Ovis aries: one gene and its partners. The main gene of each other region encodes a partner of the protein of the gene in region 2 in a complex. Links are inferred from orthologs where the notes say so. Each region holds a gene or a part of one and is shown on either strand. Other genes may lie near its edges. The genes, in order: INTS12, INTS6 and INTS7.

What was found.
Region 1: INTS6 (region 2) and INTS12 share a complex: the UniProt entries of both Homo sapiens proteins name them as parts of the integrator complex. The link is inferred for Ovis aries from reciprocal best matches to the Homo sapiens genes INTS6 and INTS12.
Region 3: INTS6 (region 2) and INTS7 share a complex: the UniProt entries of both Homo sapiens proteins name them as parts of the integrator complex. The link is inferred for Ovis aries from reciprocal best matches to the Homo sapiens genes INTS6 and INTS7.

What each region holds. Positions count from the first base shown.
Region 1 is NC_056059.1:19,865,906-19,869,680, forward strand, and holds the end of INTS12 (integrator complex subunit 12), read left to right. Parts: intron 1-2,355; coding exon 2,356-2,940; 3' UTR 2,941-3,043; downstream 3,044-3,775. UniProt on the Homo sapiens protein: Component of the integrator complex, a multiprotein complex that terminates RNA polymerase II (Pol II) transcription in the promoter-proximal region of genes.
Region 2 is NC_056063.1:21,148,151-21,152,583, reverse strand, and holds part of INTS6 (integrator complex subunit 6), read left to right. Parts: coding exon 1-10; intron 11-2,161; coding exon 2,162-2,288; intron 2,289-3,057; coding exon 3,058-3,200; intron 3,201-3,405; coding exon 3,406-3,637; intron 3,638-4,433. UniProt on the Homo sapiens protein: Component of the integrator complex, a multiprotein complex that terminates RNA polymerase II (Pol II) transcription in the promoter-proximal region of genes.
Region 3 is NC_056065.1:70,997,671-71,002,103, forward strand, and holds part of INTS7 (integrator complex subunit 7), read left to right. Parts: intron 1-2,018; coding exon 2,019-2,153; intron 2,154-3,486; coding exon 3,487-3,584; intron 3,585-4,433. UniProt on the Homo sapiens protein: Component of the integrator complex, a multiprotein complex that terminates RNA polymerase II (Pol II) transcription in the promoter-proximal region of genes.

The DNA of each region.
Region 1 (3,775 bases), on a different chromosome or scaffold from region 2:
TTAGCTGGTAGCTCAGAGGGTAAAGCGTCTGCCTGCAATGTGGGAGACCTGGGTTCAATCCCTGGGTAGGGAAGATCCTCTGGAGAAGGAAATGGCAACCTACTCCAGTTCTCTTGCCTAGAAAATTCCATGGATGGAGGAGCCTGGTAGGCTACAGTCCACGGGGTTGCAAAGAGTCGGACACGACTGAGCAACTTCACCACCACCAAGGAAGAGTTGATATCCAAGGGATAGCCCTTATTGTCACATAGAGACTTGGTGAGCTAGAGTAGAAGTAAGAATGATTTATTGAAAATAATTAGAGTTGCTATATTCTATACTTAAATTATTTTCAGATAGATTTTTATACTAACCTATTACTGCTGCTGCTAAGTTGCTTTCGTCGTGTCCAACTCTGTGCGACCCCATAGACGGCAGCCCACCAGGCTCCCCTGTCCCTGGGATTCTCCAGGCAAGAACACTGGAGTGGGTTGCCATTTCCTTGTCCAATGCATGAAAGTGAAAAGTGAAAGTGAAGTCGCTCAGTCGTGTCCAACTCTTTGCGACCCCATGGACTACAGCCTACCAGGCTCCTCTATCCATGGGATTTTCCAGGCAAGAGTACTGGAGTGGGGTACCATCGCCTTCTCCAACCTATTACTACCAAGGCTTATTTTTAGGAAACTCAATATGAAATTATTTTGCAGCAAATAAATTAAGGCTTTGGCTGTCATGTTTGTTCTGATTAAGAGGTTTGATATTTTTATGATAAAATAGAATAAATGTTTAGTATGAAATTCAATAAATTGAAAAGCAATACCAGTAACAGCAAACCATTAAAATAAAATGTCATATACACGGAACTTGCTTTGTACTTCATAAGTTTTGGGTCTTTTTGATTACTTCAGATGGGTTTTCTTTTGTAAAGTTTGTTGAAAGATCATTTAGTCAAATGGCAGGCAGTTTTATATTTATTAGAAAGAAAAGGAAAAAATAACATCTTTTATAATTGAAAATTAAGTTTACTATACCTGTGTCCTTTGCTACCTTGACTAAATTTTTCTCATTAAATATATGCATTTCTCTAGGAATTTGCAGTTTATGTAAAGTTTATCTTCTTTGCATAACCTTATGAGATAGTCATTATATGATGTAACTGTAAAAAATCCTATCACTTTTCACAGTATGTGAAAAATAATCTGGACCTTCCTCTTCTAAAGACCTCAGAGCACTCTATTTTCAGTATTCTTCTCATTGGTTTATAATGTTTCGTGCAGACAACATTGAAGACTACTTTGTAAGAATTAAAAACGTTTTTATCAATTCATTCGGAGTTCAGTTCTAAAATATAATTGGGTGTATTCTAAGCATGATAACTAGCATATTAAGTAAGATACTATTTGTAAGATTTTTATCTTTTACATATTTAACACTTTCGTGACCCATGAAAATAAGATAGAAAAATTCATTTCACAATCAATTTGAACAAAGTGCATTTTCCCCTAAATGTTAATGTGAAAAATATTGTTTTGTATGAAAAAGAACAGTATTTATGTAGTGACATTGGTACTCTGTTAGCTTTTGACTGTCCAAGGAAGTTACTTAGAGAAATGTAATATGTGTTACACCTTTAAGGAATAAATCTGGGAATGAGTCAGGCATACCCAAAATGTCACTATACGGCTTATTGAGGCAGTTTATAAAAAATCCTTTATATTGAAACAGGGACCTCTTTGTGATAGTTTCAGTGGAAACATGGACAAATTGGGAAAATAAAGTTATGAAATGTTTTTAGTATATCACCCGTTGTACAATTTCATGTAGTTAATGCAGTATACTTGTATATATGCAAGTATTTGCTCAAAATTTAGGGGGAATTTTTCTTTTAAATAGGTTCAGAATCTCATCTCAGACATCTAAGTATCCTGGGCATAAGAATTTTTGTCCATTAAGAGTGGATTCTGTTTTTGAATTGATCCACAAGTCATTTGGAGTAGGTCTAAAGAATTAGAAGTTTTACAGCTAAATAATAACCTTTTTGCATGAAAAACAACTTAAAGCATTAAATCTGATTTTCTGATGTGGCTTGTGGCTGAATCTAGAAGCAGTCCTCAAAAAGGAAATTTTTTTCTGAAATGATTAGAATAAGAATATGACATACCATAACTCCTGCTTTGGAAATGGTAGCACCGTTAGCTATGGATAGGTTTTCTTCTATGTGCTTTGTCATATCAGTTTATCAGAACTTAATTTTGATGATTTAAATTTCCAAGATCATTAGTTTTATAAAAAGTCTTAACCATTAATCTTCTTTTGTATTTAAGAATATTAGGTATTAATTATACTTTCCTCTAATATTTATCTTATATTTTTTAGGCATCCACGGTTGTTTCAGGAAATTCTTCTAGCACCAATGTTTCCTCTTCAGCAACTAGTGGCCTAATTGGATGGGCAGCTTTTGCAGCGAAAACCACTTCTGCTGGTCCATCAACAGCAAAATTGAGTTCAGCAGCCCAAAACAATAGCGGGAAACCTGCTACCTCTTCTGCTAACCAGAAGCCCGTGGGTTTGACTGGTCTGGCAACAACATCCAAAGGGGGAATAGGTTCCAAAATAGGTTCCAATAACAGCACTTCACCCACTGTACCATTGAAACCACCTCCACCTCTCACTCTAGGCAAAACTGGCCTTAGTCGCTCAGTTAGTTGTGACAATGTTAGCAAAGTAGGTCTTCCCAGTCCAAGTAGTTTGGTTCCAGGAAGCAGCAGCCAACTCAGTGGGAATGGAAATAGTGGCACATCAGGGCCTAGTGGAAGTACCACTAACAAAACCACTTCTGAATCGAGCACCTCTCCATCGGCATCCCTTAAAGGTCCAACTTCACAAGAATCACAACTCAATGCCATGAAGCGATTACAAATGGTCAAGAAGAAGGCTGCCCAAAAGAAACTCAAGAAGTAATGTGGCCAAGTAGGTTTTTATATCATACTACCCTAAAGATTAAAATCTTATGACGATATAATCTGTAATATACTATAATTTAATAAAAATCTTCATAATGAAATTTCTACTATTTCTTACCTTAAAATGCTAAATAGTATTTAGTGAAACTTAGAAATGTTTATCTTAAATCTGTTTTAACATCTTTATTTTGACAGTTTTCATAGTGTGTGAAAACTGATTAGAATGACTAATTCTTAATAAAAACTTCTGAAATCCCAGAAGACTGGTGCATCTGCAGATTTTAAAAAAAAAAAAAAGCATCTTCTAACAACGTCCCAATAACTGATCTTGCTGAATAGGTGCCTTACAAGAAGACAAGGATGGCCCGATAATAAAGTTTCCCACTCCTCGCCCACCATAGTCTGAATGTTCAGTGTCAGTCCCAGGCTCATTTCAATTGATTCTCCTTCTCCCCCCAAATATTTCAACTTCTTCTTTTCAAAAGTAATTTTTCATGTTCTTGTGTTATGCTTTTATCTTATCACCTCATATCAATTACTTAGGCATTTATCTCTTCCAATCGATGGTGAACCCCATGCCCTTTCAGTGCAATGCTTTTCTCACTTTTCTCTCAGAAATTGTGAGGGATTTCAGTTGTTACCTTATTCTAACAGAAGACATAAGGCTTTCTGGATCAGAGAAATAGTTCATTGTTCACAGCAAAATGTAGCAGTCATTCTATACTTCATGAATACCTCATTTCATTCAGAAACTAGACATCCAGCAAATTCCTACATTCACTAAACTTGAGCAGCCTGTTTCTTCAGCTTTGAGGTATGCTACTAAAACTATA
Region 2 (4,433 bases):
GCTCAATAAGGTAATAGTTAAGTGAATTTTGTACTGCTCTAGTAATAGTCTATATTGTCAAATATGTAAAATTTTCTATTAACTGATACCCAGTTTGTCCAAACTTCTATACCTCTGCAGAATAATGATCAATTATGCTATTAATATTATTGAATCATTGAATTTTAAAACACTGTACATGGTGAGTGGATTAGCAGATGGACTGATGAAGAGCAAACCATCATGTTCATTTTATAGATAGAAAACAGACTTAGAGATTGCCTGAAGTTACATAGCTAATAGTAGAATTCACTGTAGTTTGGTACTTATACTACTGACCTTGGCTACACAGTATAATCCTGAAATGCTTTATGAATCTCATTATTAAAAAGATCTTCATCCTAGTTGCCTGTTTGTCACAACTGACAGACTGGTTCTAAAATTTATATGGAGGTATATAGGTCCTAGAGTAGCTGAAACAATTTTGCGAAAGAACAAAGCTGAAAAACTTGCACTGTCTAATTTTAAAAGTTACTATGAAGCTACAGTGATAACATATGTGTTGCTGGAAAAATATTTGGTCGGTGGGACAGAAGTAGACCTTCATATATAGAGTTAATTTTTAACAAAGATGGCCAGAATAATTTAGTGGGTAAGAAGACAGTCTTTTCAACAGATAGGGTGGGAACAGTTAGCTATCCATCTGCAAAACAATGAACTTGATCCTTATATTAGTTAATGTGATCATAGTTATAAATGTAAGAACTGAAACTATAAACTTCTATAGGAAAAATATCTATAAGATGTTGGATCTTGGGTCAATGAAGATTTCTAAAATACAACACAAAAAGCACATACACATAACTTCATAAACTGAACTTTAGTAAAATTATAATTTTTGTCTTCAGAAGAAACTTTGAAGTTTCTCCCAGACAAGCTACAGCCTAGGAGAAAAGCATATGTTGAGTAAAGAACTTGTATGAAAATATATAAAGAAATCCTGCTGCTGCTGCTAAGTTGCTTCAGTCCTGTCCGAGTCTGTCCGACCCCAGAGACGGCAGCCCACCAGGCTCCCCCGTCCCTGGGATTCTCCAGGCAAGAACACTAAGACTCGGTTATAAAAAGATAAGCATCCAAAAAAAAATACACAAAATATTTGAGTAGACACCTTACCAGGTAGGATATACAGACCTGAACAAGCACACGAAAAGATGTTCAACATTATTAGTCAAGTGGGGAAATGCAAATTAAAACCACAGTGAGATACCACTTTATGCCCACTACTGAACTGAGAATGGCTAAAATTTAAGACTGAAAAATATGAAATGTTGGTAAGGTTATAGAACAGCTGCAACTCTTACACATTGTTGATGAAAATTATCAAGTTAATCTGCAGTTTCTTAGGAAAGGTAAATGTTGCTATATACCAACAGTTCTACTTGTAGGTATCTACTGAGATAAATGAAAATATGTGTGTGTAAAGGGCTTGTATGCAAATATTCGTAGCAGCATTAGTAATTGCCCCAAACTGAAAACAGTCCAAGTGTTCATCAACTGGTGAATGAATAAAGATATAGTATATCCATGTAAAAAGGAAAAGACAGTAAAAAGGAATAAACTACCAATACATGGACAACATGGATGAATCTCAAAAACATGCTTGTGGAAAGACGCCAGATAGAAAAGATTACATATTGCAGGATTCCATTTATGAAATGGGATGTAGAGAGACAGAAAGCAGATTAGTGGTTGCGGGGATAGGAATTGCGAGTGACTGCCAAGTGGGCACATGGACCCTTGTGAAGTGATGGGGATGTTCTAAAACTGATGCTAGTGATGGTTTCACAACTGAACATTTACTAGCGCTCAAACTGTTTATGTAAAATGGGTTGTAAATGGTATGTAAATTACACATAAAAGCTTTTATTTACTTCTGTTAGCCAGAATACATAATGAAATCTTGGACAGATGTGAATTTGAGATAATTCGGTTGAGCTTCACTTCACTATCTTTTGGTTATTACAACAGTACATTACGATGGTATCATATCTCTTTATTCTATTTTTCTAAGCTAATTAGTTGACTTGTATATCTTATTTTCAAAGCTGTGCTGCAGGCTAGAGATTGTAGTCTCTTAATTCTGTTTCAAAATACATTTTGTCTTTGAATCTTTTTAAAACAGGATTTGAAGCCACAGACGTTTAGAAATGCATATGACATACCAAGACGGAATCTTTTGGATCACTTAACAAGAATGAGATCTAATCTTTTGAAGAGCACCCGCAGATTTCTTAAAGGACAGGATGAAGGTTAGATCATGGTTTTAATATTGGTGTTTCTTCAGTAAACTTTTCTTTATATTGAAAATACAGAGTGTTATTGTAACTTTTAAAGAGTTGACTGTAATATTACACTCTCATTGAATGAAAGTGAATTCTACCATCACTGTTGCCCCGAATTCTGTTCTCCAGAGGAAACAACCTTTGGTAATAGCTTAGTTTCCTTATGGCTTTCTTCATACATTCACATACACAGGCACACACAAAATCATTTTCTTGTGATCTACTAGTATCTGATAGGTTAACTTGGAATGGCCAATATATGTCATATTCTAGTATTTCCTTAACTATACCTTTGGCACCTACAAATCAAGTCAGATGAGAACTTAACCCTTTGCCAACTCTACATTTCAACTACAGTTTTATATGAAAAGGATCATCTCTGTGATACTCTTTTCTGTAAATTATGCTTTAACTAAATTCTGCTTTGGAGTAGAATAGAAGAGACATTTTCATAGAAGGGTTACACATACTGTTTATTCTATATACTGAAACTAACTGCAATATTTTTGCTTTGTTTAGAAGATAAAATTGATTATTTAAAATTTTATTAAAAAGCACTCAAGATTTTGTCACAATATTTATAATGGCAACAAACTAATTTAGAATATATGGTAAGGAAAAGTTGCCTAGAATAGACCAGGTTGCATTCATACATAAGAACACATTATTTGTTAACTAAATGGAAGGTAGTTTTAGTGAAGTTAACTTTTATTATTGCTTTGTTCTGTTTGAAAAGATCAAGTGCACAGTGTTCCTATAGCACAAATGGGGAATTACCAGGAATACCTCAAGCAAGTACCTTCTCCATTAAGAGAACTTGATCCTGATCAGCCTCGGAGGTTGCATACATTTGGCAACCCCTTTAAGCTGGATAAAAAGGTAAATTTGAAGTGTTTCATTATATAATTTTTTTTTGTGGGAGGCACAGTAGATTTAACAGTTCTTAATTTAACTAAAGTAAGCCGAAACTATTTTCTTGGTAGGATACAATGTCAGCATCGTTAAAATGTACTTTAATGGGAATTGGAGTTTGTCGTACAACTGAAAACCATATGTAAAGTCAGGAAATTCTTCGTTGTTACAGGGTATGATGATAGATGAGGCAGATGAACTTGTGGCTGGGCCTCAAAATAAACATAAACGACCTGGAGAACCAAGTATGCAAGGTATCCCTAAGAGACGGCGCTGCATGTCTCCACTGCTGCGGGGCCGGCAGCAGAGCCCAGTTGTGAACAACCACATCGGGGGGAAAGGACCACCGGCACCTATGACCCAAGCACAGCCAGACCTCATTAAACCCCTTCCTCTTCATAAAAGTAAGGGTTTTTCTTTAAACAGTATTTGCTGCTTTTAGTTTGGTTCTTCATGGGAGAGAGTTTTCTGATATAGAAAAAGTGGATAAAGTTCCAAGAGTGTCTAGAGAAGATATTTGTTTATTCCAAATTATCATGTAATCATTTTTTATGTCTTTTTAATGAACATTTCATATATTCATTCATTATGCTTAATAGCTATCATGATTTGAAATATCATTTGCAAATCTTTAGCGTTTAGAAATGACAGTTTTTAAAGGGGCATTATCAATACCCACAGAAAGATGGTTTTCAATTTGTTTAATTCGGCAACTAATTATTAAATGAGATGCTTAATTTAGACAGGGTTAGGCATTGAGATGTAGCTATAAACAGATAATAGTGATCTCTGCCTTCATTTATAATGAGGGAAGAAAGTCATCACACATTTCCTTAGAAGTGTGATGAATATTACAAAAAGGGAAGTCAAGTATACTTGTTGTGGAAGTATTTGGCAAGAGGATTTAACTTAGTCTGTGGGGTCAAGGACGGAGGAGCCTGGTAGGCTGCAGTCCATGGGGTCGCTAGGAGTCGTACATGACTGAGCGACTTCACTTTCGCTCAGTAAAAAATACTCCACACAGTAATGTCAGCCTGGTTTTCATGAAATGCCAATCAGATCAGATCAGATCACTACCTCTTTCAATGGATTTTCACTGTCCTTAGAATTAAGTCTAGAATTTTTTACGGTGGCTTCTAAGACCCTCTATGATCTAGACTCTGCATGTTTATCTTTTGGTTCTTACCTTACCTCATTCCC
Region 3 (4,433 bases), on a different chromosome or scaffold from region 2:
TTAATGTAGTAGCAAAATATTGTCCATCATTGGAGATGGAGTAGCATAAGAAGGTCCATCAATAGGGAACTCATTAAAGAAATTAAGATACAAAACTGCAGTAGCAATCGGTGCAGCTTACTAAAAAGAATATATGGCATGGAATAACCTCCATGACATAATGTCTGGGGGAAATAAAGCAGGATGCGCAGCAGTGTTTAAAACAGGAAAAAAGAAAGGATTGTGCTTACAAATGTGTAGACTCTTTAGAATGATACACAAGAGATATAACCTTAGGTGTTTGAGGAAGACTTTTCACTCAGTAACTTTTTACCTTTTTCCTACTATTGGTTGAACTTTTCGAACCAAGTAAATTATCTTACAAAATTATTTCTAAATAAAAAAACTAAAAATAATAATTTTATCCCTGAAACAATTGACACAGAAAAATGCTCACAAATATTATATTTTAAAGGCAGAATATTGACAGTATCTACTTATCCTGATTATGAATTTTAAAGTTATAATTGTATGCATAGGGAAAAGATTTTTAAGTACTACAGAAAGCTAATAATAAGGTTATGCTGGTTTGTGAGTTTAGAGGCTTTTTTATTTCCTGTTTTTTTTCCCCCAAGTTTTCTTTGACATCTCAGTGAGAAAAAAAAAGGAAAAAACAAGTTAAAAACATTTGTGAATTTATAGATGAGTTGTCATTGTCCATATTACATGTACAAGGGAAAAAATGGAGAAAATTACAATTTCCATTGTTTTGTGAAAAAAAATCCTTTCACATGTTTTGCCTATCAGAAAAACACTGAGGCCTTACCTACGCTAGTAGTTTCATGTTAAACTGGAAATCAGTAAGGTGACCATATGTCCCAGACTACCTGGGATAGTCTTGGTTTATGCCTGTTGTTATTAGTAATAGTGTCCCCTTCAAACCTCAAAAAGGGTGATTGCCCTCAGTGTAAAAGGTTATAGTTGATAGGAATCATGGAAAAATAAACAGGGCAAAGAAAGACAGGAATGAAAGACCCTGCTGAGAAGCTGAATTAGCTTTAATCTTCAGATTCTTCTTGATGCTAAACTCACCTATAACTGAGAGCTTCTCTGCTATAAATAAAAACATTCACAGCATAAACCTTATGTTACAGAATTTCAAGTGTGATTTTTAACTGTAGGATAGAACTTAACGTATAAAGCACAAAGCTGGTGCATAACTAACAAGTTTATATGACCTCGGTGGCAAGATGCTTAAGATCTTTAGGCTTCAATTTCTTCTGTAAAAATAGTATTGAATCAGAAGATCTCCAAGTCCTTGGTAGCTCTAAAATTATAAATTCTTACATAAACCTTTTGCAGTATAACTACATGCCAGCAATTGAGCAAACTTAAAATTTTTGTTTCTCTTTTCTCCTCTTGAATGGAAGGTTTTTAATCTGGCAAGAAGCCTTGTAATGATTCTGTTTTAATGAGAATCCGTTTGAATGCCCAAGATACAGTCTTGGCTTTTGGTGTGTTTCTTAGTCAATTTTTATTAATATTTCAGTGGGGGGAGCCTGGAAAATCCCATGGACAGAGGAGCCTGGAAGGCTGCAGTCCATGGGGTCGCTGAGGGTCGGACACGACTGAGCGACTTCCCTTTCACTTTTCACTTTCCTGCATTGGAGAAGGAAATGGCAACCCACTCCAGTGTTCTTGTCTGGAGAATCCCAGGGATGGGGAGCCTGGTGGGCTGCTGTCTGTGGGGTCGCACAGAGTCGGACATGGTTGAAGCGACTTAGCAGCAGCAGCAGTATTATGTTAATTTTAGATCTTAATCATTAGAAAACTATTTAGTATATACTTATTCTAAGTATGTGAACAGGAGAAAAAGGGATGGTTTTGTATATTGAGCATAGGGTTGAGGTAGAAAATTTTGTTGAAATTCATTGTTAGAGATTTTCTTTTGAAAATGATAAAAAATGAACCTATAAAATGAACTGCTTTTGAACTGTGTAAATTAATTAAATCTGCCCTACTTTTCTTTGCTTGCTTAGGAAATGTGGCTTCGTCCCCTAGATCCTCTGATTTAGTCAAATTAGCCCAAGAGTGCTGTTACCATAATAACAGGGGCATTGCAGCTCATGGAGTGAGAGTCCTAACTAATATAACTGTATCTTGTCAAGAAAAAGGTAAGTTTGATCAAGACTGATACTATGTATGAACTTTCAGATTGGAGTTTCACCAGAGTCCTGTTTGTATTTCATTTTTTAATCCCTTATTATTTTTAGGCTGTGTGCTTTTATCTATTAGTCACCTCCTCCTGAATGTTCTTAGGGCATATTTTCTCAAAACTACCTAATTCTTTGGGAAAACGAAATGAGGATCTTGGGATTGGGAGTGCAGAACTGAAAGGTTTTACGGAGCATTGCCCATCTCCTCCTATGGCTTTACCTTTGCTCGTATGATGCTATGGATAGAGGCTGCTTATAACTATCCAGTGATTATCAGTTTGTTCACTTGTTTAAAAAAAAACTAGAAAATTTAGGGGAGAAAAAGCATACAAAGTTATTGAGAGGCTTAAGTAACAGATAGTTTTCACCTGGGGGAAAATGAATTAACAGAGCAATGTAAGTTAAACTGTCATGGAATTTATCTCTATGTATCTATAGCATTAAATGACTTGCATAGTCAAGAAGGATGTGCATAGAAAATAATGCATATATTTTATTGTATTCTTAACATCTTTTGACCTAAACAAATTCATGCTGGTGTTCAAAAACAGGAATGCGTTCTGGATGTTTCATCTGTTTCAGTGCTTATTTTGATCTTTGTTAAGAATCAGCAGTCCCTCTTATCCCCACTAGGCTTCAGCACTGCTTGTGACTAGTACCTTTGTTTTCCCAGCACCTTGATCTTCACCAGACATTGTTTGCCAAGCTCTTACACTGACTCAAAAGGCATTTAAGTTGTTTGTTCATTCTGATTTCAATAACTCAATTTTTGGCATAGTAATAAGCATCATCTACCATGTAACACAGAAAATTGCTCTGTATTCTCAAAGTTGACATATGTTAATATTAACCTAAATGTGGTTTTATATACACACACACACACACACACACACACACACACACACAGAACTTCAGAGAAATTTTAGCTCAAAAGTAGTGAAAAGATGATATAGTACTGGTATTACATGAGACATCTAGAGGGTTCATTTCTTTATGATCTGACTTAAAACACTAGTAAGATGAAGTGGGATCTTGATTATTTCTAGAAAGCATTTCTACTTCAATGAGAAGGTTGCATCCTAGGTAAAAATGGACCTGCATAATGTTAGGCTAGTTTGGAAGATTTGACACACACCATGTCGATACATGGTTTGCTGTACTTAGTATCTTTCTTAGCTAAGCTGTTTGGTATTTTCTTGTCCTGAATGTTTTTTTCTTCTGTGTGCATCTGTGTGTGTGTGTATGTAATCTTCTCTACTTGACCATTAAAGACACAGTATTTTTCCTCTAGACCTTTTGGCACTGGAACAAGATGCTGTCTTTGGCCTGGAATCCCTTCTGGTGCTTTGTAGTCAAGATGATAGCCCAGGTGCTCAAGCCACTTTAAAGGTAAAAACATCAGCTCTTTTTATATAATGCCTGTTTTCATTGCCAGAAGTGTAGATTGCCAGTCTCTCTGTAAAGGGTCAGATAGTAAATATTTTAAGCTTTGCAGACAATGCACTTTTTGTCACAACTATTCAGTTCTGCTATTATAGGGAAAAAATAGCCATGGACAATTTTTTTTTTTTTTTTTTCAAGAGAAGGGTTAATGGTATGACTATGTTCTGGTAAAATTTTATTTGCATAAACAGGCAGGATTTGGTCCAAGTGCAAGAGTTTGTCAGCCTCTGGCTTAAACAAATATTTGCCCTTGATCTTCACTTTCAAAGCTAGTATTTTGACTGTTATTATTCCGAAAGACAGATGAAGTTAAAATTTGATTTTGGCCTATTTTGCCATCAGTTGAAAGTATTTATTAAGCTGTAATAGATATGTATGATGATCCTAGATAAGGTAAAGCAAAGTTAAACAGACAGAGCTCCTGTACTTTTGCAAGTTTTATAATCTGAGGTAACACTGATAAGGTCACAAAGAACTAATGAAATTACTGAAATAAATGTGTAAGTGTATATTAGTTTATACAGTATAGAAGCCCTAGTTTTAATCCACTCACCTAACTATCATCTTAGAGGTATTTAAACATTTTAAGGTGAAATGAGACTATTATTGGAGTTAAACATGAAATGTAATATTTGATGGCACAAAATAATTAAGAAAAGTAGGACCAATAGAAATAAAAGGCTGTTAGACATTGGAGAATGTAAGAACTATAGCTTGTTTAAGGTATAGTTTGAGAAAAATCATGACTTATTTTAGCATGTTAAGAAAAGGTATGATGTGGTTATAATGATGAAT